Arabidopsis thaliana: one gene and its partners. The protein of the gene in region 1 interacts with the protein of each later gene in a pairwise test. Each region holds a gene or a part of one and is shown in the gene's direction. Other genes may lie near its edges.

Region 1 (10,761 bases):
TTATATTATCGACTCCAAAAGATTGGTGCTTTTGTTGATTATTCAGTTTTTGTAATAACTTGCATTGTTCATAAATTATTTCCAGAAAACAAAACAACTTGATCTTCGACTTCGTCTATGTTTTCATGAAGTCACGGAAAAAGACGATTCTAATGTAACATAGCTTAAGCATTGACGATGACGTATTTGATATGCTTTCTTGGTACGTCGTACTTTTTTGTCCCATATCAAATTGAAGAAATTTGATAATTTAATTCATCATTTACCAACTTTGTAATAAAACAAATAGTCACAAAATGCCGTAACAATCTCTGAATTGTTTTTTTAATTAGAAGATGTTGATTAACAAAGAGAGTTAAGAACAAACATGTTTGATCCAAGTCACAAGATTCAGCAACATTACATTCCTTTGATCCATCTCTGATCTTACAAACACGTTTTCTCAAACTTTCCATAGACGATACTTAACACCTAGCTTGAAGCAAACATGAGCATCAATCGACGCCTGAAGAATCTGATCGTCACAAAGCTCGTACGCACTCCAATCACTCATGCTTATCTCTCGATCTAGCCTCACTCCACGATAACCCAAACATTCCTCAACAATCACCTCAAACGAACAACCCCTCATGCTCCTCCTTCCGCTCGAATCTTCAACGTACTTCCTCAAATCCAGAAGATCATCAATCTCTAACTGATGTCTAGATCTCTCTAGCTTCCTCGCGTCTTGACTATTCCAAACACCGACGAACGTGTAATCTGGATACGCTAAGAAATTATGAAGGACTCTAGGGACGCGGTCACAGTGAGAAAGCTGGATGATGATACATCGATTGCCAACGCATAGCTGCAGTGTATCCGCCGGAGGATCGTAGTAACCACCAGATGAAGAATCGGAGTAATAACTAACCGGTGGAGAATCGGAGTTTTAACCAGGCGGTGTCCACTGAACTCCGACTCCGACAACGAGAGGGTGAGAGGAGAAGCGGTTGTTGGAGAGAACGTCGTGTATCCATTGGCCGATGACGGAGGGGTCCGGCGTTACGGTGACGGTTAACTCTTCTCCAAAGAAATTGACAGAGTATTTTTCCTGAGTGGCATAACTTCCGATTGTTCTGATTCTCGGAGCCATTGATTTTACGTTTACTTTGGAGAACCAGAGCATAGAAAGATAATGATTCTGCTTGTATCGTCGAAGGCTACTTAAAGTGTAGTACTGGTGCTCAGTGCTCTTTGTCACCGTTTGATCTTTGTGAAAATAAATGCGGTTAAATTTGGACGGTTAAGATGCATGTAGGCAAAGGTTAGCCTTTCGCATCGTTGGGTCAGTCTATCGTGACATCGTGCATAGTAATTCGACGTCACAAACTCACAATTACTGATTCGTTAACCTCAAACCTAAATAATTACTGATTCGTATTCAGAAAGATTTTATAAAAAACTTGAAATTTGGGAATTAAGGAGGATGAATAATTTCAGTATTAGTTAATATTAGTATCATCCTGTATCAAGATTAGGATTGAAAAACTCAACATAGCAAGCATTAGATCCAAATTAAAGTAGGAAACATATTTAGCACAGCACTATGCGTTTGTAAGTTCGTTTCCTTATTTTGATAAAATTTAGCTTATGATAAAATAAAATAATACTTGTATTTTACAAAATACTCATGGAAGAAATAAACTACTAGTTTTTTAAAAAAGAAGGGAAATTTCACTCACAAGTCCACAACGAACAAACGAGATAAGATTTATTTCTCTAATAAGTAATAACAAACCAAAAAAGGAAAAGATTCAAACATTTGCAACATTAGATTCTAATTGAAACGTTTACCGATTCTTTTCTTCCCACAGATGGTCTAGAATAGCAAGGCTGCAACACGCATAAACATCTATCGACGCCTGAAGAATCTGATCGTAGCTAAGGTTGTAAACGCGCCAATCGCTCATGCTTACCTCTCGATCTAGCCTCACTCCTGGATAACCTAAATTTTCCTCAACAATCTTCTCAAGCGAATAATTATACATCGATCTCCGTCCACTCGAATCTGAAACAAATTCCCTCAAATCCATAAGCTCCGCAATCTCCAACTGATGTCTAGATCTCTCTAGCTTTCCTGCATCTTGACTATTCCAAATTCCGACGAACGTGTTATCTCGATCCGCGAGGAAATTACGGAGGACCTGCGGGACGCGTTCACAGTAACGGAGTTGGATGATGATACATCGATTACCAACGCATAGCTGCAGAGTATCCGCCGGAGGATCGGAGCTATAGAAAACCGGTGGAGAATCGGAGCGATAACTGTCCGGAGAAGAATCGGAACGATAACTAACCGGTGGAGAAGCAGGGTGGTAACCAGAGGGTGTCCACTGAACGCCGACTCCAACGACGAGAGGGTGAGAAGAGAGACGGTTGTGGAAGAAGACGTCGTGAATCCATTGGCCGATGACGGAAGGATCCGGCGTTACGGTGACGAAAAGCTCTTCTCCAAAGAAATCGACTGAGTACCTTTGCTGAGTAGCGTAAGATCCGATGGTTCTGATTGTCGGAGCCATTGATTTTGCCTTCAGTTTTTCAAGCAGAGATAATGATGAAACTGCTTTCTTCTCCTTTTGCAATCGTCGGAGGCTAGTTAAATTGTAGTACTGGTGCTCGCTATCACCATTGATCTTTTTGAAAATAAATGCAGTTAAATTTGGACGGTTGAGATGCAGTGTGACGTCATTAACCTACGCCAAACCTTAATGGTTATTACTGATTTGAATTCAAAAAGAATTTCTTATAAAGATCTCGAAATTTGAATTATGGAGAATATTTTGAGTATAGTTTATCAGATTACGTTAGCTAATGTTATATACTCCTAAAAATTAGTATTATCCTAAATCAAGATTAGGATTGATAAACGCATCTCAGTTGTAAACTCGTATCCTTGATCTTGCTTGAGGTTATATCCAGTTTAAAAATCGGAAATCATTTAACTGGGTGCAAAAACATTTGATTGACCAATTTGGTACGTCGTGATTTTTTTTGTCCCATGTCAAATTAAACAAAATTGATAATATAATTCATCAAAGCGTATTTGTTTTTAATCAAAACGTTAGATAGTCTTTTAATATCAATGCCTTTATTACAAACGTAGTCTACATGTACTAATTTTCCAGTCAACATTCATAGTCACAAAATACGATAACATGAAAACTTTCATGAATTAGAAGAAGACGTTGATTGATAAAGAGAGAAGAACAACAACAAATTCAAATCACAAGATTAGCAGCAACTTTTAAGTTCCAGAGACGTTCCTCAACAGCGAGCTTAAAGCAAACATACGACTCAATCGACGCCTGAAGTACCTGATAATGGTTAAGGTTATAAACGCCCCAATCGCTCATACAAATCGCCGGATCTAACCTCACTCCTACGCGACCCAAACGCTCCTTCACGATCTGTTCAAACGAACAAAAACACATCCTAGCCCCTCTCGAATCTCTCACGAACATCCTTATGTCCAGAAGCTTCCCGATCTCCACTCGATGCCTACATTTCTCGAGTTTTTTCTGGTCTTGGCCGTTCCAAACGCCGACGAAAGTCGTTTTGGGATCGGCAAGGAAAGTGCGGAGGACTTTTGGGAGACCGTAATTGTAACCTAGTTGGATGATGAGACAGCGACTACCGACGCACAACTGGAGAGTTTTTGGTGGTGGATCTGGATCGGAACTATCCGGTCTCCACTGAACACCGATTCCAACGACGAGAGGATGTACCGAGTGATTACGGTTGTAGGAGCGGACGCTACGAATCCAGCGGCGGATAACGGAAGCAGTCGGCGTAACGGTGACGATCAAGTCGTCTCCGAAAAAATCGACAAAGTGTTTTTGGTGAGTACGGAAACTTCTGATTCTTTTGATCGTCGGAGCCATTGATCTGTCTTCTTCTTCCTTTCTCTAAATTTTTGAGCGAGTGTTAGAAAGAGAAGCGGTTTCTTTTTCTTGTTATAGGGTACATTTTTGTTTCTAGTTATAATCACCGTCGATCTTTGTAGTTTTAATCGTACGGTTGACAATGGAGATGCATGTACTGTCACATCGTCAGGCCTATCATAGATGTATACGCAAAACATTTACTAATTACTGTATTTTACGGCTCTGAATTTTTATTTTTATTTCCATAAAGGTTTGATGAAGACATGGAATATAATACTTTTTTACGTACTTCTTTTTACTAAAATAGTTTATTCAGTTATTTGGGGGCTTAATTAGGTAGATAACCATAACCTTTTTTTGTGTGTTTTTTTCACGAACAATGATTCACTGATGTAAAATCATAATTACTGATGAAGTTAACTTTCAACGTATAACGCTATGACGCAATTACTCTTGATATTTTTTCCTATATATTGGTTTGACAAAATTTTGTAACTTTAAATATAACTTCTGAAAAAATAAAAAAGTTGTAAATATAAATTCCACAACATTTTGTTTGGAACTTTGGATACATAGGCCACTTTGTTTTATCACACTTTATAATAAAGGTGGTTTCTGTTTTTTTTTTCTAAAATTCGACAGTTTGGTTTATAAGTATCTAAATTCAACTTGAAGACAAATAATTCTAACTTTATTTTATTTAAATTGTGATAAAAAAAAGTAACCCAAAACATATTTTTTGGTTCAGGCATATGTGTTACAACTTACAAGGATGCATTATCCTCAAACAAAATCCAATAAATAAAAAATAGAGAAGGTGGATGAAGATCTAAGAATTAATACTGTCACGAGAAAACGTATACAATCCACTAATACATAGCCACGTGTATGGTTAGATCTTTTCAAACAATCCGATTATATTTTGTGCTCCGCCGTATATTTATAACTAACATTACTTAATTAAATAACCATGTCGTCGACCCATTTTTTTTCTTTGACCCAAAACTTTAATTTGATTATATATATTTAATTTTAATTTTTCCATCGCACGGAGATTGTAACAAGGAAACCGCCGTCGCCGGATCTGATAGTGCATATCCATGAAGTAGAAGACGAAGAAACTTACTTTCTGATCTTAGAACGGAGTATATGTACAGAAGATTCGCGTCCCTCAATTTTTGATCTCAAGGGTCGGGTTTACCTTTTTTTCCTTCTTATTTTTGGTGGCTTTGCGTTTTCTCATTCGACGATTTCTGGATTTGGGGATTTCAAAACCATGAGGAAGAAGCTCGATACTCGGTTCCCAGCTGTAAGTTTTTCGTCTCTAATTGATCATTTCTGAAATTGAAGTCCAATTTCTCGGAAATTACTTTGATCTGTTGTTTTTCAGATCGAATTTCCAACACTATTTGGGATTAGATTAGTGTTCTACGATGAAAATTAGATTAAGTATCTCATTTCTGGCGAATTAGTTTTAGCAAATGACCTAGTAGTCAATTTCACCCTAATTTTTGTTGTGCTTGTTATATAGCTATAGTAATATGTGTTATGAAGATCCGCTATGGAATGTTTCATGTAAATTAGAGAATTCGAGAATTTAGGTGACTAGTGCTCGAAACGTGTTCTTTATCAACAAACCAGTCAGCTATTGGTTAGATAGTGTTGATTGAAGCAGGGATGTTATACACGAATTGTTTTTTCATAGGCTTGGAACTTTTTGTAGAGCTTCCAATTTGGCTAGCTAGATTTTGTTTAGCTTTATTGAATAAAACGTCAGATGATTTCATAAGTTGGTTATTGTTGATGGTGGTTTATTTTGTTTGAGCTGAGGCTAGAATATTAGTTTTTCACAGATTTTGACTTTCCATTTAATTTGTTAATATATTTTTGTTTGTATAATCTGATTGGTGATTGTACAGAGCGTGCTTGGTGTTTCTCAGTTCTACCATTTGCTTTATAATTCGTTTAGTAGTCTGTAATTATTGCCACACACACTGTGTGATGGTTGCTGTTTCTTCATTTGATGCATATATTACAATTTTTCAGGCTCGTATTAAAAAGATTATGCAAGCTGATGAGGATGTTGGCAAGATAGCTTTGGCAGTGCCTGTCTTAGTCTGTAAGTCATCTTGCTATCATTGACTTCAGTTTGAAAAGAGAATTATTGGAAACTTTACCCTTTGGCTAAATTTCATGTTCTCTTATTACAGCAAAATCTTTGGAGTTGTTCTTGCAAGACCTTTGTGATCGTACATATGAAATTACCCTTGAAAGAGGTGCCAAGACTGTGAGCTCATTGCACCTGTAAGTAACAGATTGGTTTACCTTTATTTTTGCTTTAACTCTGCATGCTAGCATCGTCATTATCTAAAGAGCATGAAAGGTTTCACTTGAATGCATTTTAAATTCTAGAGCTTTCAGATGTTGTAATTATTGATATTGTGGTTTAAGAGTTAACATGATGTTGTTAAGCGGAATAGCTTCCAACTCATAGGGCCTATTTTCACTGCATCCAACACCGAGAGGATGTTGTTTACTGTTACAGAATTTTATACCACAAATTTGGGATAAAGTTCTTATTTTTGCTCATCCATGTTTATCAAAGTGCTTTGTTGTTTACAGAAAACATTGTGTGGAAAGATATAACGTGTTTGATTTTCTGAGGGAAGTTGTGAGTAAGGTGCCTGACTATGGCCATTCCCAAGGGCAAGGACATGGTGATGTTACCATGGATGATCGCAGCATCTCCAAGAGAAGGTTGGATGTTTGATCTCTTAGTTCCATATGTTCTAGTTCTTTGTTTATAGTCCGTGTCAAGCTGATGTGAGATGGTTTATCAAAACAGGAAGCCCATCAGCGATGAAGTGAATGACAGTGACGAGGAATATAAGAAAAGCAAAACGGTGAGCTCGTGTTCTTCTTGAAATATTATACTTCATCATTCATTTGGTGTCTATTCCCAGCTCCTTAGATTCATTGAATATATTGGTAATCACTGCAGCAAGAGATAGGGAGTGCTAAGACCAGTGGCAGGGGTGGTAGAGGAAGAGGGCGAGGAAGAGGTCGTGGTGGACGAGCTGCAAAAGCAGCCGAAAGAGAGGGTCTCAACCGCGAGATGGAAGTAGAAGCCGCCAATTCTGGACAGCCACCACCAGAAGACAATGTCAAGATGCATGCGTCAGAGTCATCACCACAAGAGGATGAGAAGAAAGGCATCGACGGCACAGCAGCATCGAACGAAGACACCAAGCAACACCTTCAAAGTCCCAAAGAAGGCATTGACTTTGATCTCAACGCTGAATCCCTCGACCTAAACGAGACCAAACTGGCACCAGCCACAGGCACAACCACAACCACAACTGCAGCAACAGACTCTGAGGAGTATTCGGGCTGGCCTATGATGGACATAAGCAAAATGGATCCAGCACAGCTTGCTAGTCTGGGTAAGAGGATAGACGAGGATGAGGAAGATTATGACGAAGAAGGCTAAGTCATAACAGCACTATAGGATATATAGAGTAGCAGCGTTTAGCAGTTTGTCTAGAAAATGCTTCTTCTGTCATCAAAATCTTCTCCTGTTTCCATTTATTGTATGAACCAAAGATTGCATGCACTCTATGAAACTTAATTTATTCTCCTGATTTGTTATTTAAGGTTTTAGAGTTTTACATCAGAAGTTAAAATATCTTACAGAGTAAGTAAACACTCAAAAGTACATAAACAAAGGAGAGGGACTAGTCATGGTGTTGCTCCGCGTGGTTGAGATGAAGAGCACCTTCATGGTTCTTGTGAACTTCCACCTTGAACTTTTCCTCTTTTTCTCCCCTCTTCAACTTCAGTAGCATGTTGTATTTTGCAGCCTCGCCGGTTACCTGTGTCCATGTTTTTAATATTAAGCTCATTAATCTTGTAATCACCAACTATTACAACTCAGACGTTAGTCCTCATACCAAGGAGAACCAATATGTTGCTTAAAGTCTTTTCTACTTCTAAAACTTCAACACCATTCGGTTTCACTGACACTTGATTTCGTTTATTTGCAATTTCTCAGATGAAATTCATGCAAAAACATTGTCAAAATCTGACAAGTTCTCTATTGAAATTCATTTTGTGCAATTAAGATCGAAGATAGAGTATATAGTAAATTAAAGCCATACCTCAGCTTTAGCATGCACAACCTCCAGAAGTTCATAAGGGAACAAGGAGTTAGACCTCTGCTGAATGGTCTTGACAGCCTGCTCAGCAACATGCTTCACTTCTGGATCATCTCCGGGAACTTCCCTCCATCCAGATTCATGTTCACCTGATCCACAAAACCCAATTTTCATAACCAAACTCTTTCCTAACCCACAATCTCTGACTTGCTACATATATATCCCCTGACATTATAATGTTCTTATCAGTAACTACTCAAATTCACACCTTGCTTGCAGCCAAGATCGGAGGAAGTGATAGCAGGGGCATCACTGGCAGGCTTGAACTCCTGTAACTCTTTAAAGTTCAACCACGGCTTGACCCACACTTTGGCTTCGTAAAGCTTCTTCTGTCCTGCCTCGAGAATCTCCAGAGTCAGGTGATGCAGTGTTCCGGCTACAACTTGTTCTTTCGCCTTCACAACTCTCGCAAACTCAAGAAGTGCATTCTACGACGACCAAAGACAGAACAAACCAAAAAATCAATCAATCAATCAATCCCACAACATGAACGCATTTCATCACCGAATAATATACACTCTCTAAGATCTGCTGGTAACTGAAATTGAGATCAATAGAGAAACTCCGGACAAAATTAGTCTAATCGTGTTCTGGATCAAGACTATAATAGCATAAAACACACATATCGAGACGAGAGATGTGAAAAAATCGAAGATGATGAGAGATTTGGAACCTCTTTCTTGTTGTGTTCATCGACAGCGAAACGAGCGAGGCTCTCAACCTCACCACTGTTCTGATTAGCAGGGACATCGCCAACACCTCCGACTAAAGCCATCTCTTCGTTGCAGAAGCCTAAATCACTGGCGATCAGAGAGGAAATGAAGAGGGATAGAGAGAAGAAAACAATGAAGAGTAAGAAACGGCTTCTCATCATTCTCACCTTTATTTGGTTCGGTGCCCTGTATTTTTAGATATTTTTCGTTTTACTCGTCGAATTGTTGATTTTATCCTCTACAGTTAATTCGCCGTGTACCGGATTAAGGTGTCCATTTGGTTTGATGTTGGTTTTGTTGGTACAGTTTTAAGTTTAGGCTCTGATTTATGAAAATATTCTTACGATTTAAAACAAAAAAGGTTTACATTTGATTGGATGCCAATTGAATCGAATCATTTGTAAGAAAAGAGTACCGATTCGAGTTATAGATTGGTTTGATTTGGCCTCAATCGGTTAAGCTACCAACATTTTAAATAGAAATTCATACCAATCTGGATTACACATGAAAACGTTGCTGAGGATAGCGGCACGTTATACGAAACGTGTCGGCAGAGTCACACAGAAATTGTCAAACACCTTTACTTGTAATCGAAGTTTAAAACATCTATGCACCTTTCTTCGTCTTTCTCTCATCTGCTAGAGAGCCCAATTAAAAAAGGCCCATGGGAAATAAAATCGCAACATAAACAGTGAAACATCATTGGAAAGAGTTTTATTAGTCTGATATTATTGTTTTGATAATACAAAGCTGCGTATTATATTATAATAATAATACTCTCGTTACTAAATAGCAGCTTCGAGGAGGCCGTTAACGAAGGATCTTTGGTTGTAACAATCAAGATTACCACCAGGATTAACACCAAATATGTTACAATACCTCTGATAAAACCCTATACGATCGGCGACTCTCCCGTCTTGGCCACGTCCACACTCCAATCCACCGTTAATGATGTTCGTAATCACTCCATAACCCGGTAATCTCCCGGCGGCACGGTCGGCGTCTGAAGGCTGCCACTGGCCGGCTATCACGGCATGGCAAGACGGTTTGGGAGGCTGAGCAGTCATCCAGAACCAAATCGCGGCTTTGAAAGCGATCACTGCGTCGTTGGCAACAAGGTCAGGGTTGTTGAGTAAGTCAACTCCTATTGCTCTACCGCATAGACCGTAATTGTAGTTCCACGACAGTTGCATTGGTCCTCTTCCGTAGTAGCGTTTGCCAGATGCGCATGGCCACGTGGCGCTCGGTTCACAGTAGTCTGAAGCAGGATTCTGTTCTTGCTTGAAACAGTAGCCCCATGAATATGGTCCGTCTGGTGCTGTAGCCCATCCACCTGCACGACGTAACCGTCCACTTAATTAATTAGTATATAGCTATATATATAGTCACAACTCACAAACTTGACATTATTCAAAAGTGTATAATTTGGAAACTGGAATATTCGTAAGTTCCTTGATTGGTTATTTGCGTTTAGATTAATCAAGAATTTCATATTTTTAAAATAGTTTTTTAATTGTAAACGCAAACATCTAAGACCAAAACATTTTTCTTTGCGTTTGGCGTTTTTGTTTGATTTTTTTCTTTCGTTTCTAAATATGAGAAGCTATAATTTTTTCAATAAAACATATATATATATATATATATATATATATAGTATAGTAGTTCTTTGTATATATGAGCACTTGGATCCAAAACTCTTTACAGAAGAAAAAAAGAACTTCAAATTCTGATGTTTTAATAATAAACACCAAAATTTAGCAATTGTGTTTTGAAACAATCTCCGTCAAATTGTTAATGAGTTTTGGGTACCTGTAGTTTCATGGGAAGTCTGGCCGAAGAAGGCGGCGACCTCCTTCTTCCTCGTGGCGGTGTCTCCGGTGGTGCCAAAACCGGGGAAGGACTTTGCAGCGG
Region 2 (9,595 bases), on another chromosome or scaffold:
TTGTAAGCTTTCCCTTTCTCAATTGCCTCGGCTGCAGCCTCAAAGTCCAGCCTCTCTTGTGCCCGAGCTGATTCCGACATGCTATTAACTCTGTTGGAGTCTGTTGTACGTAACCCTCCTTTGTATTTCTCCTTGAGAAACTGCTCAAATCTTTCTTGTTTAGCTGGATCATCTTTGAAGGGCTTCACAGCATCTGCTGCCTCTTGCTATTTCAGGGAGAGAAAGATAAGTCAAGAATGTCAGTGCAAGGAAAACAAAGGCATATCACTTGAAACTCATCTATCAAGTGTAATCAAGCTAAAGTCTTGTAAGGTGTGAAGTTGTTTACTTACAGATGAAGCTGATTTGGTGAATGTGTCAGAGAGATTGGTCGGGAACTGGAAGGAGCCTCCAGAAGAAGCAGAAGTATCGGTTTCTTTCAAACTTCTCTGCAATGGCTTTTCCCCTAATAAGCTGCCACGTGTTTCTGCAGTCATTTTCTGTACGGTTGGAGACACCTTAACATCTAATGTCAGCTTACTTTGATCTTTACGCTTTTGCTGCTCCTCCCACAGCCTTCTTGCGTAGTAGTCATGACCGTTACCTTCCCGAAGAAAATCAAACAGCTGATTTGATTGGTTCTTCTCTCTAGAAAGATCCTCGTATAGTTTCCCGCAACGGGAAACAAAAGTTGCAAACCCCTCGATCAGAAGTTTCAGATTATTATCTGCAGGAGGAGGAACTTCCGGAGGAGCAGAAACAGTTGGCTTAGTTTCAGCCTCAAGAGGACCAGAAAATTTATGCCGGGCCACAAAATCCTTCGGGATTATCGGAGGATTAAATCTGATATAATATACAAAACACACAATGATATGAATTAGACTATCTGAATGTAAGTAGCCATAATCAGAAAATTCTGAGAGTAAGAGCTCTATTAGACATGCAATTGTGTGATGACATTGATTTAACAATGTCCTCATGTTTGTGAATCATTGAAACATTACCTCTCCATACTGTAGTCAGAATTCTTAGCAGCTCCAAAACCTGGCAGAACGTCATGCTCTTTTGAGGTTAACCTCAGTCTATTGTCATTGCTCTGTCTTGCTGGCTGTTCGTCTTCTATGACATAAGTCTGATCAAAATCGTAACCTGAAAGAAAAGAAAAACACTTTGGTATTGCAGCATATTCTGAGAAACAGGAGGTTGATAAATCCAAAACTAGCACTTCAAATTGTCAAGAAAGTATTTACACCTATAACCAATATTATTCTTTTACAAAAGCAAATTACTTTTACAACATACAGGAGCTTTAAATTAACGACTGTGGGACAATGGTTTGTAATCTTTAGAATAAATAATAGTTCAACCTGAACAGACACTTATGCATATATGAACAAAGAAACCATGATTAGTGAAATTGCACTTCTGTCCTTACCAGCATAGACATCTTCATCCTCAACATCAAGTTCCTCAAGTGCTCCAATGCCAAAACCCGGAGCAATCTTTCCTGCTGATTGTTCAACTCATGTTAGTAACTAACAAAACCCATAAGTAGTTTTCACGCAACAAGAATGCCAAGTAAAAGCTGGCATAGAGATACGCTATAGATGCATGTAAGTATCTTTAAGCAAAGAAGAGAAAATTAACAAGAAAGAAAAGAAAAAATGGTGAGTCAAAATCTTACATTTGGGTCCAAAAAGACTTTCCTTCATTGATAAAGGTTTTCTGAAACCAACCTCCTTATTGGCAGACATGCGAGATCTTTTCTTTTCTACAGATCAGAATAATGTGAAGCAAGTCAATGACCAAGAATGCCCTGTCAGCAGAAACATCATAAAAAGTCCAAACTAGGTACCTCTAAATTCAGGAGCATGCTTAAAAGGATCATATCCTAATCCATGCAGATCTTGCTTTGGATTCAGAACATATACCTGCAATCGATAAAGGGGGAACAAAGGATATCATCAAAATCAATGTAACTAAGGGTAATATCTGAAGAAGCTCAGCAGCAGATTAGAAGCAGTATTCACAGTCCGACGTTAATAAAAAGTAGAAGAGAAGTTCAAGAAAAGTATGACTAATAGAAGTATCACACCAGTAGCGATTACAATCAACAACATATAGCTCGTTTGAAAAGAGAAACAGGAAAATTGACTCACAGGAGTGCTTTCAGAAATTTTAATATCTTCACCCAGAGAAGTTTCCACTTCAGTCTCAGAAACAAGCGAGTCGGGCGTTTCCTTTGTATTCTCATCAGTATAGAAGGCTAAGAATGCTTTTCTAGCTTCTCTACGAGCATCTGCACCAACAAGGTATAAAAGAGAGAGAGAGAGAGACGAAATAAAGAGCTTGCTGTGAATTTCCAAAATAGAAAAAGTATTGACGGCTTTTCTTGGTGCACAAAAGAAGATTATGGATTAGTGCATGTTAAACAAGTTCAAACCTGAACTGGCACGCACTTCCTTTATTGAATGACCACGCCGCCATCCCATCTTTAGCAAAAGTTTGACCCCTGAAAAATATAAAGAAGCATAAATGTGAGATCAGGATTTCTCCACTTGATGCATTCGAAAATAAAGAAAACGAAAGAAAAGGAACTTTTGCAAAATATTAAAGAGGCTTATTGAAACTAACCAATTGACTCTGAAACTGGAGCAACAAGTTCGTCAGGAACAGGGCCAGGAATGGCTGATGGCCTGTGATACAGAAACAATATGTTACAAATATATAGATAGCAACTTCTTATAAAAAACAGACTACAGATAAGTACACAGACCTCTCATGCTGTTCTTTCTCAGCATGCTTGCGGGAATGTTCGGCTGCCGTAAACCCAAATGTGTCAAATTGTGAGCTCGCAGACAGTGATTTGCCCTCCATATCCTAAAATGGAAAAGGATTTAGAATGGTGTAACATCGTTAAATATGGTGCACATCTTCCACAGAGCAAAATATAATTCCCAAATCCACACTCCATTTTACCATTGATAAAAGTAACAGAAGAATCATGCAATATGCGGTAATCAAACTTTGACAAGCTTAAAATAACTCGAAATAAAGCTTTAACAGATCTAACAAGGAGAAAAAGATGAAACATACCGCCTTTTCATCTTCATCTAGAAAGTCTGAAATACTTTGCTTTCTCGCTCCAGCTCTGTTCTGCCTTGATGATGTAAATGACTGTGGAGCCCAGCCTGAAGTACGATTTAGATTGTAAACAGCATAGCACAGATAAAAAAGCCTTTGAAAATCAGGTAATGTAAACTTTACCCTCTTTTGATCCAACTGTATTGTAATACCCAGCAGAATATCCACCAGTAAATGCTCCATGGAACCTTCTACGGCCTTCTTCATCAGTCACCTGAGTATGGTAAAACTCGAGATGTTAGCAACTTTCCACATAATAGTACAACTATATACAGATAGACTTTATTTCCAGTAAAAACTCATAGTGGAAAGCTGGACAACGAATTCTTGCAATATCATGCATCCATTAGTAAGGACACAAATTTTCATCACAGATTGCTTCAATTAGTTTGCAATTAGAGACCAAGGAAGATGCCACATACATAAATACATATTTCAAAATGCCTACAAGGCAAACACCTAAATGCAGATAATCAATCTAATAACTATCCATAGATACATTAATAAGCAAAAACAAACACAGCAAATAACAAAAACTCAGAATCTAACTGTCTAGCATGATTTTGAGTATTAAATCAGCTCCAGTAGAGACATTCACTTCGATTTTCTTGCTTAAGGTTAATTTCATTCCGGGATACTCACAAATTTTCAAGCTGATTAAGCTGAAACGGGAATGCCTCAAAGTTATCCCTTACCTTACTCGACATAAAACCTATTAAGCTCTCTACAATACGTTAGAATCACGAAAACAAGCACAACGAAAAAACTCCCATGTTCATGGCCAAAGCGAGTCTCTCGAAGCTCAAATTATCTAATCATCTGCAACTAAATAGACGAACTAGAAGATCAAAGAAAAACTCACCTCTTGCTTCCAAGCAGGGAGAGTTCTAAGATTGCCAGAAGCCCCAGCGACTGCTTTCTTCTTCCGGCTTGCGATTTCTTCTTCGCGCTCTATTGGCGTTCCATGAAACACGAAATCTTCCTCGTCTGACCCCATTGTCTTCACCACCGAGACCGAGAGGAGCAGCAGCAATTCGAGATTCTGAACGAGTCCCAGAGAGAAGAAGAAGAAGCAGAATCAGAGAATTATGGAGGAGATATCTGGGCCTGGTTCGGGTCTCTTTTCGGCCCATTAGTTTTGTTTTAAAATCCAATTGCTATAAGGAAGTTAAAGTTATCTTCACGCGCCGTCTCTAAGCGTTGTAAAAGAAAGTGTGATTCACGCGCTTTGCTTCTTCCGTTTGCCCTAAACGACTCTGCTAGAGAAGACGAAGGAGAGAGAAAATCCCTCCGATTATATTCCGTACAATCCGATCGATTTCCCGGCGCCAGATCTCACCGCGACTCGTCTACTTTCCGATTTGGTTCGTGTTGACTCAGTTACGGTGAGTCGATTATCTCTATCTTCTCGTTTTTTTCCGATCTCCCCTTGATTTGCTCTTTATGCAGATCTTCGTGTACAAGCACCTTTAACCTGATGAATTCTGTAGATTAAACTATGGATCCAATGGATATAGTCGGCAAATCCAAGGAAGACGCTTCTCTTCCAAAAGGTTAGTGTTATTGCTCATTGATCATTAAATAGGAGGATTTGTAAACCTAGCTATATATAACTCTGCTTGAAGGTTATAGGATTCATGAGCATCATAAACTTCATTTTTTTATTATCTTGCTAAGAATATGTTTTGTTGTTCTCTATTGTTTTAGCTACGATGACTAAAATTATAAAGGAGATGTTACCACCAGATGTTCGTGTTGCAAGAGATGCTCAAGATCTTCTCATTGAATGTTGTGTAGGTAAGATCATATAGTTTCTCTCTGAGTTCATCTATATATGTGAGAGTTCTTGGTTTTCTTACTGTGGTTTAAAACATTTTTTGCAGAGTTTATAAATCTTGTATCTTCAGAATCTAATGATGTTTGTAACAAAGAGGATAAACGGACGATTGCTCCTGAGCATGTTCTCAAGGCATTACAGGTTCTTGGTTTTGGAGAATACATTGAAGAAGTCTATGCTGCGTATGAGCAACATAAGTATGAAACAATGGTAATGATTCTCTACTTTCTTCTCCTACTCTTGATAACGAGGAGACGAAAAAACGATTAATGTTAACCGTTTCCTACATTTGTGACTCTATAGCAGGACACACAGAGGAGCGTGAAATGGAACCCTGGAGCTCAAATGACTGAGGAGGAAGCAGCAGCTGAGCAACAACGTATGTTTGCAGAAGCACGTGCAAGAATGAATGGAGGTGTTTCGGTTCCTCAACCTGAACATCCAGAAACTGACCAGAGAAGTCCGCAAAGCTAACTGAAACCGTAAGGGTAAGTGTTAGGCAAGAAAAAACAACATCCTTTTAACATTCCCTTGTAAGTTGCAAATGCGTATGTTCTCTGTTTATATGCTCTTAGTATGATATATGTTAGTTAGTGTTTCACGATCTAAAAACACTTGTGATTCAGATGTAATTAGTAAGCATTCCTTGTTTTGTGTTTACTTGTGTCTTGACTAAGCATGGTGGGTCAGGTCTACACAAAGCATCTGATTCGATGACTTACAGGAATCTTAATGTTTGTAGATTGGATAAATTTGGTGATTGGTGTAATTGTTTTTCCATAAACACAATGCAATCATTGTTTAGTGTTGTTAACATTTGCCCTGTGATTCTGACGCGAACCGAGAATACTGTACTGAGCCAAACATAGATTTTTGGTTTTCGGCTAGGTTTTGGTTCTCTAGGCTGAACCGATTGGCGTACTTTCAATTTGCCTTCAGTAACCTGCGAATTTCGGTTCGGTTCGACATTGGTTTCTCAGATAGTTATTTGTTTCTTAAAGAACGGATTATACCATTATTAGACCGTTTTTTACCAAAATTTGATCGGGTTTCGCAAATGATTACGAACCGATTTTAGAAAATAAAGAAGGAACCAAAACCAAACCAAATTGAATTTCTTTTCGGTAACCAGTTAGAAGAAATACTTCGGTTAATTGATAACCGGAAAACTGACTTGGTTTGTATGTTTTGTCTTTGTCATTAGTAGAAAAAACATAAACTGATGAAATTATTTAATAGACTCTAGTTTTCCCAGTCTCAAATTTTAATCTGTTCGTACTAAATAACTGATTTGTTCATTAAATATATAGTTCCTTACAAAGCAAAAGACAAATGGTTCATTAATATTTTAGTTTCTTACTAAAAATGTACATAAACTGATGAATTATGACATCATTAATTAAAGTATATACTGTAAAAGGTAGGATGACTTTTGACCCCAAAAAAAAAGGTAAGAGGAGTGAGGGAGAGTCGAAGAAGGGGAAGGTACTAGCAGGACCATCACCGGAGTGACGTGTCAGTTCGCAGGTTTCTGTTTACTCTGCACCCGACAACTAATAAGAGAATCAGAACAGACCTATTTCATATCTTACTATTTATGACGTCAATTGATCCTAACTATATAACTTACGTATTTATTTGTAACATTATTATACATTCCTTTGTATTATTATAACAGTATGATTTTATTCTTTGATATACAAAGACAAAGCCTGTCGAATGTTGTATTCCTCTTAATGGCCCGTCACACCAATCTTTATTTGAGAATATTTCGTACTGAATCGAGACTATTAATGAATAGTTGTATAATTGAATACATTCATCTTTCCATGATAAACCATACTATAAGTGTTAGACAATTACTTGAACCTATCTATAAAGCATAAACTTAAGTATCCATGTACCAATTGATATCGAGTCTTGTTGTATGTTTAACTTTTTTTAATGACGGATTGTTGGAAACCTGTAGTGGTTGTATGGATAATATGTGTACTAATTACTATATTATCTAACATGCACGATTTAAGTTTCGTATTAGTAAGTGTTGTTACAGTAATATAAGGATAGTGACGTCAAGCCGCTTGTGCCAAATTATTGTCTTGCGTTTTTTACCAGGAAAAGTTGGAAAAAAAAATCTTACTTTTACTGCCAACAACTAGAAAAACAGTTCTCAGAACTATTTGCTTTAACATGGTTAAAAAAAACTAATAACCGCATACAATTCAAAAAGTGAGATGGAAAAATAGAGAGTACAAGAGGTTCAACAATTCACTTGCATTTGTTTCAATTTAGAAATGTTTATATTCTATGTTGCTTTTGATACTTAATCTTTACTTTTTTTTTCCCTGTCCATTGATTTGAAAATAAGTTTGAAATCATCTACGAATCTTTAATATGATTAGAGATTGTATAATATGTACAATAAAGATTTGATATAAAGAAGAAAGGATTTGATATAAATGTACTATATTTTGGTAAACACTCCACTCTTTTTTTTTACTGTATAAAAGATTGAAGTCAAAAAAAGGGTTTTTGAGTCAAACAAAATTGAGGGTCTTTGTAGATTACCCCACATAGAAAATGAAACAACACACACACTTTGTCCCCAGATTCCTTTCTTTTGTCTCATTTCTCGTGTTTCTCCCAAAGTATTCAACAAAAACACAATCCTCCTCTCCACTTATTCTCTTAACTTTATATTAATACAACTGAATCAACCATTCATATAACTAAAATAAACAAAAATCAACATTTACAAAATTCAGCACCAAGCTTTTCTTGTATATTTATACTTTTTATATATTTTCTCCTAAATACATATTTTGCCTTGGCTCAGATTTATTAAATTCATATTGGCAAAAGGTTTTATTGGTGGTGTTGAGAGGAATGGAAGAGATAAAGATGTAAATGAAAGAAAAAATATTTCTCTCCTCTTTACTTGATAGAATCAGTTATTTTACATTTTCAAATTGTCTAACAAGAATTGAGCATAATCCGTTTTAAAAAAACCAAAAATATCTCTAGAATAAGCAACTAATTGAGCTAAAAAGTCTAAAACTAATCCCAAGCTGAATCACTTAACACCTAAGAGCATCCCCAATGGTTAAGATGTTAAAACATCTTAATTTTGGATCTTAATCTTTTTTAAAATTAAAATTTTGCTTTTTCAAAGTTAAGATAAGTTAAAAAAATATCTTAACTTATTTATGCTCCAATGGTTAAGAAGCAAAAAATTCTTAAGGGAAAAAATTTAAATTATTTATGTTCTAATGGTTTTTTTTTCTTTCCTTTTGTTTATTTGTGTACCCAATAAATACACCGCACATGTCCAATTCTTAAACTTAAGAAAATATATTAGTTAAGATATAAATCTTAGCTAATCTTAACTGTTTTTATTAAATTTAATCAGTTTATCAATTAAGATATAGACAAGATATCACTTATTTGAACCGATGGGGTTACTCTAATATGGTTAAATATTGAACTAAAAAGCAAAAGCCAAATCTACACTTATATTCAGAAACTATTGTTTTTTCTCTTTTCTTTTTCTTACTTTAAAATTTTGATTTCCGAAATCCTCTACAAAGATGAAAATGGTGGGTCCAATCACAGTCGGATTCTCTGTCAAATTGTATTATCTTCTCTCTCACACCAACACACTCACAACGACAAGAGATAGAGAGAGACAAAAGCAAAGAGAAGAAGTGAGATAAAGAGAGTTATATTCACCAAATAGACCAAACCCTCAAGTTAAATTCACACCAACAACTTTGATCATTACCACATTCTCTCTCTCTTTCTCTCTAGAGCTTCTAGCTTCTCTTTCAATGGCTAAAGACTTTGCCTCCAAGAGACACAATAGTTTCCACTGGACAAGAAAAGTCGGATCAGACGAAAACGACGACGTTTCTTCTCATAAACCTCTTCCTCATCACAACAACACTAAACCTTCTTCTTCTTCATCTTCATCTTCCTCTAATGTAATCACTCACAAAAAAAAGCTTCAATCTTTCGCCGTTTCTCGTCTCCGGTCAGTTATCGCTACTCTAAGCAGAGCACGACCCGGTAACCAAAACTCCGGGCTCGGGTCACGGGTCGTGGGTACACTTTTCGGGTCTCGTCGTGGTCACGTGCATTTCTCTATCCAGAAAGATCCTAATTCTCCACCGGCGTTTTTAATCGAACTCGCTACTCCGATTAGTGGGTTAGTCAAAGAAATGGCTTCAGGACTCGTTAGAATCGCTTTGGAGTGTGATAAGGGGAAAGAGGAAGAAGAAGGAGAAGAAAAAAACGGAACTTTACGTCACGGCGGAGGAGACAAGACGAAGACGACGACGACGGCGGCGGTTTCACGGCGGTTGGTGGAGGAGCCGATGTGGAGAACTTATTGTAACGGGAAAAAGTGTGGATTTGCTACGAGGAGAGAGTGTGGTGAGAAGGAGAAAAAGGTTTTGAAAGCTCTTGAGATGGTTTCAATGGGCGCCGGAGTCTTACCAGAGACGGAGGAGATAGGCGGTGGTGGCGGCGGCGGAGGAGATATAATGTATATGAGGGCGAAATTCGAGAGAATTGTTGGGTCGCGTGATTCAGAAGCCTTCTACATGATGAATCCTGATAGTAATGGAGCTCCTGAGC
Region 3 (10,541 bases), on another chromosome or scaffold:
AGACAGTCAGCTGTAAGAAACTGTCGCAGGACGCAAGCAGCCACGCGGCGCAAAACGAGAGACTTCCGGTTCAGATTGCGGTTCAAGTCCTGTTCTACGAACAGACACGGCTCAAGAACGCCATGACCAGCGGCGGTGGCACAGGCGGTTCGAACCAAAGCCAGTTCTTCTTGTTCCCAAACCGCTCGGGAAGCGGGATGGCAAGCGGAGCCATCTCGCCGAGGGACAACTATGCATCAGTGAGAAGAGAGAACAGAGAGCTGAGACTAGAGGTGGCCAGGATGAGGATGAGGCTAACGGACCTGGAGAAAGATCATGTATCGATGAAGAGAGACTTCGTGAAGCCGCAGAGCAGGAGGAGGCGTTATGGAATGTTGAGGAAGCTCTCGAGAGGTCTGAACAAGTTGAACGCAATCGTTTTGAGATTTAGGAGCAGCCAAAGTGTTGCCAGTAGCGGTAAAAAGCATACGGAGGAGAAAACGAATTCGGAAAGACGATTCATGTTTCAGAAGAGAAGATGTCACTCTGTTTCTTGACTTGCTTGCTTCTTCTTCTTCTACTCTTTTGTAATATTTCTTTAACAAAGAAAAGACGAGAGTGAATTTGAGTGTGTAAATTTGTAATTTACAGATTCTAGAGTTGCATAATACATTCCCAAGTGTGTAAAGCTTGTCTTGTATATACTGTTCGTTGATGATGATATATTGATATGGATCAAGAAGACCCTTAACGGAAAACATTTTGTTCTAGTTTTGTTTCCAGCTCAATGGGGCAAGAATTAAGTCTTGATCCCTTTGTCACTTTTCTAGGCCTTTTCTAGTAGGCCTATATATTATATCTCATTGCGCTCAACGGCCCACTACAAATCTTCCGGAGTATATTAGACGTGAAAAAAACTGTGAGATTTTTTTTACTCACGGGCCTAATCTTTGCTTTATAGGTACAGAGAATTTGCACTATGTCAAGTGTCAACGCCTTGTGATGACAGGAAAAAAAAAAACAGAATATAATCTACGACCTACATAGAAGAACTATGGACGTCGAGATTTGAACTAAAAGAATCTAATTAACATGACTGGTCCTTGCGTTTGCCACGTCGTTGGATCCCCTCGACAAGGTAATATATCTACCTTACCTGTGAGATATTTTGTAAGGGAATATATACATTAATGACAAATATCTTGAAAAAAGAGAGGATGAAATCAAGTCTTGGTTTGGAATTTGGGTTGGTGATTCCACAACTCAATTGCTGTGACCACACTAGAAAAGTATTTTGGCTCCCTCTCTAACAGGTTGGCCAAAACGTACCTAGATGTAATGAAAATAACTATATAATTACTACTTTATTAATCTGTAACAAAAACAAAAAGCCTATGTTTTTTTTTTATTAGATGACATTTTTAAACACCACACCAGTCAACACCAGATTTTTGCTTTTGACCTTTGTATATTATTATCATTTTAAATTATACGTTTGAATAACTAACTTACAAAAAAAAAAACAATAAATTTCAGCTTTTTGTCCATAAATTTATTCCAAAGAAAAACTACTATATATTGTGATGTATAAACAAATGTCAAGGGTATGTGATGCTGCTGCCTGTCGCAGACCGAAAGCGACACAACTTACCTTTTTTGATAACATACCAAACTATATAATTGATCGCGTTCATTTTCCGAAAATATATGCCGAATGCGGCGGGGCTATAAATAATAGTTTGATCGATCGGCTTGTTTATCATCCATACTCAAGGCCTCGAATTAACACTTCTTTGTCACATCGTCGATGGAACGAGTAAGAGATTTGGCATCGGAGAAGGCGGCTGTGATATTCACGAAGAGCTCGTGTTGCATGTGTCATAGCATCAAGACTCTCTTCTACGAACTCGGGGCGAGTCCTGCCATCCATGAGCTTGACAAGGACCCGCAAGGCCCTGACATGGAACGGGCCCTCTTCCGGGTATTCGGGTCTAACCCTGCTGTCCCTGCGGTTTTCGTAGGAGGAAGGTACGTCGGCTCAGCTAAAGACGTCATCTCCTTCCACGTGGATGGCTCCCTCAAGCAGATGTTAAAGGCCTCTAACGCCATATGGTTGTGACTACATATCATCACGCTTCTTACTATCATTTATTCTACACACACTAGTTCATATTATGTCATCTCGTGAATAATACATACATATATTTATCTAAGCTTGCATGAATATTGAATTATACTTTTAGTAACCATATATATAGAAGATTATGCATGCTCCGATGCTCGTGGAGATTAATTATCAGTTGATACGGAGAAACTAGACTGTAATCAATCATCACGTAAAGATTTCTGTTAATATCGGAATATCATCTGGATTTAGCATAATATCTTCCGATTATAGAAAAAAATGTACGTAGTATAATACCTAACCGATATACAAATGAATATCGAACGTAACTATGCTATAACTAGTATATATATGATCGTTTTTGAATCAAACATAAAAGAGAATCTCGCTCATGAAAAGATTACTACACCCACAAAACAATCGAAAAGTAAGCCAAGAATGACGCAGCAGAGTTAACATATGCGTGTGATTCACGCGTGCGTCCGGCAAGAAAGACATTTCGAGAGAAGTGAATCAAACATTAGTGTAAGTGTGAAAGAAGAATATATAAAAAAGAAAGATGGAATAATTTTCTTTGGCAAGTTGGTGTTGGCGGAATCACCATGTACGATGCATATTGTTGATACATATATATACATGTTTATCACCGAAAGGTCCAATCTTTTTCATTTATCCTCACTTTGCGCAATGACTCAATCAAAGGAGATATGTTGAGAGAATCCGTTAGATTATAAATTGACAAGCCTCTTTTCTTTTTCTAGGGGTATTAATCATGCTATATTTCTTGTCACATTGATTTGAATATCAGCAGTTTAAGAAAATCGCTTAGCCAAAAGTTATTAAGAAATCGTCTGATTTCTATCATTGTTGTAATCAATTTGATAAGCTAGCTTCAACTTTCATATCTATGTTAGTGTTTCAAAATTACTATCATATGCATTCCGTTCATACTTATTTCATCAATTAGTCCATGCATGCATGTGCTTATTATTTAGATTAATTATATTTATGTCACTGGCAATGCGTATACTATTATTAACCCACAAAAAGGTGAAACTGATTACAATTTTTCGAATCGTATTCGTAAATTACTAATCAACATGTTATGACGATCAAAACAACTGCAGCGTTACCGTAGAAATAAAAATAAATTGAATAACTTAGAAGTGAGAGTAATGTTTGCAACTTGTGCAGTCAAACAGAATATAAATAAGAAGAAAAATTCTCAAATAGGCATCTGATATTTTATCTTTCCTTTTTGATATTTTCTTAGAAATAAACTACATTTTAAATGGTCTTTTCTTTCTAATTAGCAAGAAAAAAACACACTCGAAAGACTCACTCCCTTCCTATAAATAGGCGAGCAAATGTCAAGCTTTTTACATACTCAAAACAAAACAAAACATACATCAAAACGCTAAAGTTTAAACCCCTAGCCATCATCAGATCTTCAGACTTCTGAGGATCATGGACAAAGTGATGAGAATGTCTTCAGAGAAAGGAGTGGTGATCTTCACGAAGAGCTCATGTTGTCTCTGCTACGCCGTTCAAATCCTGTTCCGTGACCTTAGGGTTCAACCAACCATCCACGAGATCGACAACGACCCGGACTGCCGTGAGATCGAGAAGGCTCTTCTCCGGCTCGGCTGTTCCACGGCGGTTCCAGCTGTCTTTGTCGGAGGCAAGCTTGTTGGCTCCACCAATGAAGTCATGTCCCTTCACCTTAGTGGCTCTCTTGTCCCATTGATCAAACCCTATCAGTCCATCCTTTACTAGCAAAATTAAACCAACTCAATATATAATATCTAATTATTAGCTAGTGAGAATAAACACAGTTACAGCTAGAGTGTGAGCTAGCTAGATATTCAGTGAGGACTTCGTCTGAATTAATGTTTATCGTTTGTATGTTCTATTGTTTAGCTTCTCTCGTGTTTCAGTTTAGTTAATCAACTGGTGTATGTTGATGTATGACTCTCTGTTTATGCTAATGAAAATAGTATTGAAACTTTTACATTTTTTCCCACACAATTAGTAACGATCTCTTGTGTATGTTGAGTAATTTAGGGCTTTCCATATAATAAGGCAAGAAACCGTTTATACTTGTCTGTTTTTAACATGGTATCAGAAGGAGGCTACACACAAACCATTTTCTTATTTAGAAATATTCACATACACTGACAGTAGCTAGAATAAAAATGTGAATGGCCAACACATGCATGAACTCGTCTTCTAATTATCAAGATGTAATGTATAAGTTGGCTTCATCATTATTAGTTAGACCTATTGATAGTTAACATTATATCGGGCGATATACAGATTTAGCCTTTGTGATGTTGTGTTTAGAGCGTACTTTTGAATCAAGGATAAATCAGTGCCCATTAGAGTATATATAAATCGAATGTGAAAAATATTAGATCAGAATAGACTTAATTAGTCTCCACCATACAAATTTGGTAAGAAGAAAAACAATGATAAGATACCAGTGGCCTAATGCAACTAAAGCAGTTTGAGGAAGAGGATGGAAGATCTTTCGCGGTCCAAGTATATCATGGCTACACAAAATCACTGCTCTTTTTGCGTTCCTTTATTCTTGAGTATCTTCACGTTTAATTTACTATTATTTTCTAATGAAAAATTGTACACCTTTTTATATATATGAACTCTTTGTTTTTTCGTTAGTTGCTCGTGTAGTAAATTAAACATATATGCTCATAATCAATAAAAACATACAATGTTAGAAGAAAAAAATACAATTTTTTTTACTAACGAATCATATGAATAGTTGTTTTATATACGGTACATTAACGATCCTCTCATCAGCTTTATAGATAACGAAGCATATTATTCTCCTTAGTTCCGCTTTTTATCACTTGAGATTAAACTCTACTCACAGGTTTAAGCACGTAAATTAGTTACTAAATAATGGATTTGACATTTACGCTTTGCATGCTTATATATGTTACCCATAATTATTTCCCTTTAGTTACTTAAAGTTACCAAAATCAACTACTTCAAGATTCTCCAATCAAAAGAAGCGTGTAAAAGCCTCTATAGTTATATAGTAGTATATAGACCTTGAAGATTTCTTTTTGAAGAAAATATGATTATACTGAGTTCAAAAGGTCGAAAAGAAATAATAAAGGTAGAATCCCTTTACATGATGTGTGGAACAACTTTTCTTGACCTCCAACTTCTTGGGATCGTGGGAAATATATAGGAGAATCTAATCGGAAGTTGTACAGAACGTGTAAGAACTAAGAACCATATTCACTTTGTTGTCATTGTTATAAGATTCAAGATTCTTTGACCGGCGCGTGAAAAAAGCATCCACCTATAGGCTCAAGATTCGTGTCCAAGAAAATATCGAGAACCGATGATTACTTGGAAAGTGGACCATTTTTTAAAAAATCAAAAATTAAAAAAGGAACGTAGCTCATGCGAATAGTTTAGTCCACCAAAGTGAAATGGTAGAACATTTGGTTTCAGTTTAGTTGTGTGTATTTTTATTAAAGGCTTCAGAATCAATTTCGATTTTTGAAAAATGAGTTTTTATAGCCATGTTAGTATGTTACGAGGATGGAAAAGCAACCTAGCTAGATTATCTTGTGATATGTGTTATTGTTCAAGAGAAGTAGGGGCAGTAGTTGTCGAGATCATGTTATTAGTGTCGCTGGAATGTTAGATATTGCCCATCCTGTCTCTTTTTCCCCATCGTGCCCTAAAAGTCAAACTATGCATGGTATTAGCTAATCTTGAATAGGTTTAATTCAGTACGGAAACTCTAATTGAAAACTACCTTCATGGAGTAATAGTTATCGAGGAACGATGATGAGGTATTAGTGGAGATAAGCAGATTTGGACTCAATATCAAAAATTAATGGTGGGATCCATTTCCGTTTCACCTAATATACATAGTGGCAAACAAAAAACAAATATAAGAAGAAAAGATTCAGTATCGAGCATTCTAGCTATGTCGGTAACGTGACAAAGTCCTTTTTTTCGTTTGTCTGTTTCTTTAAAGTTAATCAAATCGGCCAACGCTGCCTCAACAACGAGCTTCCTTTTTCTAACGTCCCTAATTTGCCACGTCCATTTTCTGGACTAGTCCCGGTTTAAAAAATCTTCAGAGATGTATTCGTGGTCAACTTCATTAACTCTTTCTCTTGAGCCCTTCATTAGTTATGATCTTATTTACTTTTTAAAAATCTAACCAAGTACTGTATATTATATATGTGGTAGCCAAAATATTATGTTAAATTCTAGGCTAATCCGATATATCAAGAAAAATCAATATATAAAAATGGAGAGCTATTTTTCACGAGTTAAGTGAGAGAGATGAGTAAAGAAAGGCACGGGAAGGTGAAGAGAGTGTAGGTTTCCAGCTTCTTCCCCAAGAAATAAAATGTATTTGACTTTGTCTAAGCAAATATGTCGTCACTTTAACGTCATTCATTACCTAGAATGCAATTAAGATATGGCTTTTACATAAGCCACCAAATTTGGTTTTGTTGCCCCAAAATATCCCAAGAAAAGATCAACTTCTTCTTCTTACCAAAACTGTCGGCGTCGTCTCCTCTAAGCTCCTCCCATGGAAGCAGAAGAAGGTCATCAGCGTGACCGCCTCTGCGACTATTGCGACTCCTCCGTGGCTCTTGTCTACTGCAAAGCTGACTCCGCCAAGCTCTGCCTCGCCTGCGACAAGCAAGTCCACGTCGCCAACCAACTCTTCGCCAAACACTTCAGGTCACTTCTCTGCGACTCCTGCAACGAATCTCCCTCTTCCCTTTTCTGCGAGACTGAAAGGTCTGTTCTTTGCCAGAACTGCGACTGGCAACACCACACCGCCTCTTCCTCCCTTCATAGCCGCAGACCCTTTGAAGGATTTACCGGCTGTCCCTCCGTGCCTGAGTTGCTGGCCATCGTTGGCCTCGATGACCTCACTCTCGATTCCGGATTGCTTTGGGAGTCACCTGAGATCGTTAGCCTCAACGACCTTATTGTTTCGGGCGGGTCGGGTACTCATAACTTCCGGGCCACGGATGTTCCTCCTCTGCCTAAGGTATAACTTGCTCTGTTTTTTTTCTCGAGCCAATTGCTCGGTTTTTATATTTCTCTGAAATGTTTTGAAATGCTCCAGAATCGTCACGCCACCTGCGGGAAATACAAAGATGAGATGATCCGACAGCTCCGTGGACTATCCAGATCTGAGCCTGGTTGTCTGAAATTTGAAACCCCAGATGCTGAGATCGATGCCGGGTTCCAATTCCTAGCGCCGGATTTGTTTTCTACATGCGAGCTGGTAATAGAGACTGCTATTGGTTGTGTTTTCTTGTGCTTGTCAAATGATTTTCCAGCTTATAAATCTCTCTTGTCAATATGAAGGAGAGTGGACTGAAATGGTTCGATCAGCAAGATCATGAGGACTTTCCATATTGCTCTCTGCTAAAGAACTTGTCGGAGTCAGATGAGAAACCTGAGAATGTAGACCGAGAGTCATCGGTGATGGTTCCCGTTTCCGGCTGCTTAAACCGATGTGAGGAAGAGACTGTGATGGTTCCGGTTATCACTAGTACAAGGTCGATGACACATGAGATCAACAGTCTTGAGAGGAACTCTGCTCTCTCTCGCTACAAAGAAAAGAAGAAGTCTCGAAGGTAAACAAGCTAATTTAAAAAGTGAGACACCACCAATAGGATTGGGATTTGAATCATGTGTTGATGAAACAGGTACGAGAAACACATCAGGTATGAATCACGCAAGGTTCGTGCAGAAAGCAGGACAAGAATCAGGGGACGTTTCGCCAAGGCAGCAGATCCATGAATGATGATGAGGTTACTTTGATAATCAAAAATCTTTTGTATTAATCGAATCATATAGTGTGTATGATCAGATAAGTTTTTGTATTCTAAGCTTAGGAGTTATCACTGTATATCGACCACACTCTCAAAATTGTCACTTAAGAATAGTTTTTTTTTTGTTTTGCCTCCGATTCCTAATTTGCCAAAGGGCAAGCATGGACGAGCACAGAACAAAACATGGTTCACAGTTATATACAATCTCAAGACAAGCAAGCAGCAAAAGAACTTGTTGTAATGTTAGAAAGTGAGATTGGACCCATTAAAGATCCATGGAGCAAGAAGGGCTTGATGTAATTGATATTATGGGCTCAAGTTGTAACATAGTAAACCCAATATAGGTTGGCATGTTTGGGCCATTTTCTTTTAAAGCCCAAATATAAAAGCGTCTCTTCCCGATGGCCGGCGAAACAGAAATTCCGCTGCCGTCGCAGCTTTCACTCTTGTTTTTTTATTCAGATGAAATTGGATGGCCGATGAAGACAAACATCCAAAGGCATGGGCTCGCGGCAACAACTATTTGCAATCTACCAATATATAATAATCTGAGGCAGTATAAAAATACAAAAAAAAATGACAACACTTTTTGGCAGATCATTCCTGCTACGATGAATCTGTCCCAATGATAATCTGAGAAGTAAAGTAAGTTTTGGTTGAACAAGGAATCTGGAGTGGGTTTTACTTGTTGAGCAATCAGTAAGCACTAAATCATGTATCAGAGTTGTGGTTATATTCTCTATGTTCTTCTTAGAATTCAAATATGAATCTGACTTGGAGTTCTTTATTTTAATGATGGTTAATTTTACTGTTAATATTTTTGGATTTGAACATTTGGTGAAGAGTGGTTGCAGCTTGAAGCAATTTTGCATCTCTCACTCTTCGTTTACTGTTTGTTGACGTTGAAGATTAGGCCCCAACAAACTTGTATATAAGAGCCCTTCTCTGTTTATTCTCCTGTCTTAAGAGCGCTAAATCCCTTGGAGACATCTTCACCACACTGTTCAGAGATCTGTCATGGGCCCCGGAGGACCAGGAGGACCCGGAGGACCAGGGTTCTTGCCACCGGGAGGACCAGGCTTCTTCCCACCCATTGGTGGTTTCTTTTCTGGGTTCTCCGACATGATATGTTCCTGGTAAAGACATTCTCTGTTTTGCTATGTGTTTTGTAAAGAGTTAAGTGGTTAGTCTGACTGTGGAATCTTGCAGTCTATCTTGTCTGTGCTGCTGCTGGCTGCTACGAGATTGCTTTGGCGGCCCACCGCCACAAGGACCGCCACTTCTGCCACCCTATTATTGACCACATCTGACTCCATTGGTCACTCGAATAATATTAAAGCTATCTCTGTATAGGATATTGCAGATGTTTGTCAAATTCAATCTTAAATATAATAATTCAAATGTCTCAATTTCTGCTCTGTGTGGATATATATTACCCAAAAAACGATCAAATTAATTATCAGAGAAATGAAATCATAGTCTGGAACTACAATCACTAGCAACACAATGCAACAACAACAACAACAAACACAATCTACTGTCTTCGATTCTTGACTCTTCTCTTGTATGGACTTGCCAAGACTTTTGAAACTATGTACACACACTTCTAAGACGAGGCCAAACCAGTCTTCTCTTTCAACATGATACAACTAAATAAACACGGAGTCACAGGGTTTGATGGAATTAATCATTCACATGCTATCTTGGTGTCGAAACTGCTGAGGCAAATGGTGAAGGCCTGGAAGGCAGAGATAGGGTACTGATAATCCATTGTGAACACATCTTTTCCGACTTTTCCAAACTGGAGAATCACGTTTTCGTGCTCAGGTCCTGCAGGTCCATTCTCAGGAGCAGCTACCAGCTGAAAGTTTTTGACGGAAGCAACTGTGACTCTCCCATTGAAGTTGAGGCACCAGCACTGGAGCTGTTCGTGCCATCTGGGCGCTTTGTTTTTCAGGACAAGCAGTCCTTCCTTCTGAGCAGCAGATGATGGACCAGAAGGGAGACTCTCTGCACGAATTGATTTCGACCTGAAGAAGGAGAATGAGGGGAAACTATCAAGATTGCTATGGACAAGTTCCGTCTGAGTTGGAGCTGTTCCTCCAGGTTCTACAGCTGATGCAGGGATGGCATCCATGACACACTGCATCCTCCTCGGTCCTCTGGTATGATACGACAATGTTCACAATTAGCAAAAGCCATATTAAGCAACTACCGTTTTATCTCACAATGTATCTGTAAGCAAGGAGATAAATCACCTGGAACCCAAGACGTTAAGCTCATATGAGATATGTGCTACAGGATAGTTGCCAGATGGAATTCTCGGGCTCACTTGTTTCAAACTGAGAAGTCTGCTTGAACGGGTTCTGGTAACCTGAGTTCCAGGATTCGTCGGCTGAGCGTCATAGACAGTGAACTTGGTCCCCAGAAAGTTAGATCTGAAAGAAAGTTAAGATAAGAGAAAGGTTATGGCAAATATATGAAAAAACCATGGGGTCAATCTGTAGCTAAGTACCTAAGCTTTCCGATATAGGTATTGCTTCCTCGAGAGACATCATCGCAGTTTAAGGAGATGATGTAGTCAG

Evidence for each region.
Region 2: the proteins of NF-YC11 (region 1) and NF-YB13 interact in a two-hybrid assay, tested with the Arabidopsis thaliana proteins (one large-scale study listed by BioGRID).
Region 3: the proteins of NF-YC11 (region 1) and AT2G47890 interact in a two-hybrid assay, tested with the Arabidopsis thaliana proteins (one large-scale study listed by BioGRID).

The regions. Positions count from the first base shown.
Region 1 is NC_003074.8:3,952,866-3,963,626, forward strand, and holds NF-YC11 (nuclear factor Y, subunit C11), read left to right. Parts: upstream 1-4,897; 5' UTR 4,898-5,199; coding exon 5,200-5,232; intron 5,233-5,969; coding exon 5,970-6,042; intron 6,043-6,133; coding exon 6,134-6,227; intron 6,228-6,545; coding exon 6,546-6,680; intron 6,681-6,768; coding exon 6,769-6,826; intron 6,827-6,924; coding exon 6,925-7,413; 3' UTR 7,414-7,607; downstream 7,608-10,761. Other genes in the region: AT3G12460 (Polynucleotidyl transferase, ribonuclease H-like superfamily protein), read right to left, coding at 1,830-2,558; AT3G12470 (Polynucleotidyl transferase, ribonuclease H-like superfamily protein), read right to left, coding at 3,258-3,920; CYSB (cystatin B), read right to left, coding at 7,658-7,795, 8,081-8,226, 8,346-8,565, 8,811-9,011; HCHIB (basic chitinase), read right to left, coding at 9,636-10,183, 10,660-10,761.
Region 2 is NC_003076.8:7,744,770-7,754,364, forward strand, and holds NF-YB13 (nuclear factor Y, subunit B13), read left to right. Parts: upstream 1-4,260; 5' UTR 4,261-4,508; intron 4,509-4,572; exon of another isoform or gene 4,573-4,613; 5' UTR 4,614-4,621; coding exon 4,622-4,676; intron 4,677-4,830; coding exon 4,831-4,920; intron 4,921-5,006; coding exon 5,007-5,170; intron 5,171-5,263; coding exon 5,264-5,434; 3' UTR 5,435-5,843; downstream 5,844-9,595. Other genes in the region: TGH (SWAP (Suppressor-of-White-APricot)/surp domain-containing protein), read right to left, coding at 1-206, 333-822, 984-1,128, 1,415-1,489, 1,664-1,750, 1,835-1,910, 2,139-2,278, 2,423-2,491 and 5 more; AT5G23100 (MIZU-KUSSEI-like protein (Protein of unknown function, DUF617)), read left to right, coding at 8,788-9,595.
Region 3 is NC_003071.7:19,601,553-19,612,093, forward strand, and holds AT2G47890 (B-box type zinc finger protein with CCT domain-containing protein), read left to right. Parts: upstream 1-6,443; 5' UTR 6,444-6,692; coding exon 6,693-7,163; intron 7,164-7,241; coding exon 7,242-7,403; coding exon of another isoform or gene 7,404-7,484; exon of another isoform or gene 7,485-7,486; coding exon 7,487-7,758; coding exon of another isoform or gene 7,759-7,762; exon of another isoform or gene 7,763-7,830; coding exon 7,831-7,924; 3' UTR 7,925-8,735; downstream 8,736-10,541. Other genes in the region: SETH6 (Phototropic-responsive NPH3 family protein), read left to right, coding at 1-536; AT2G47870 (Thioredoxin superfamily protein), read left to right, coding at 1,787-2,098; AT2G47880 (Glutaredoxin family protein), read left to right, coding at 3,572-3,880; AT2G47885 (uncharacterized protein), read right to left, coding at 3,679-3,816; TLP3 (tubby like protein 3), read right to left, coding at 9,644-10,118, 10,215-10,394, 10,472-10,541.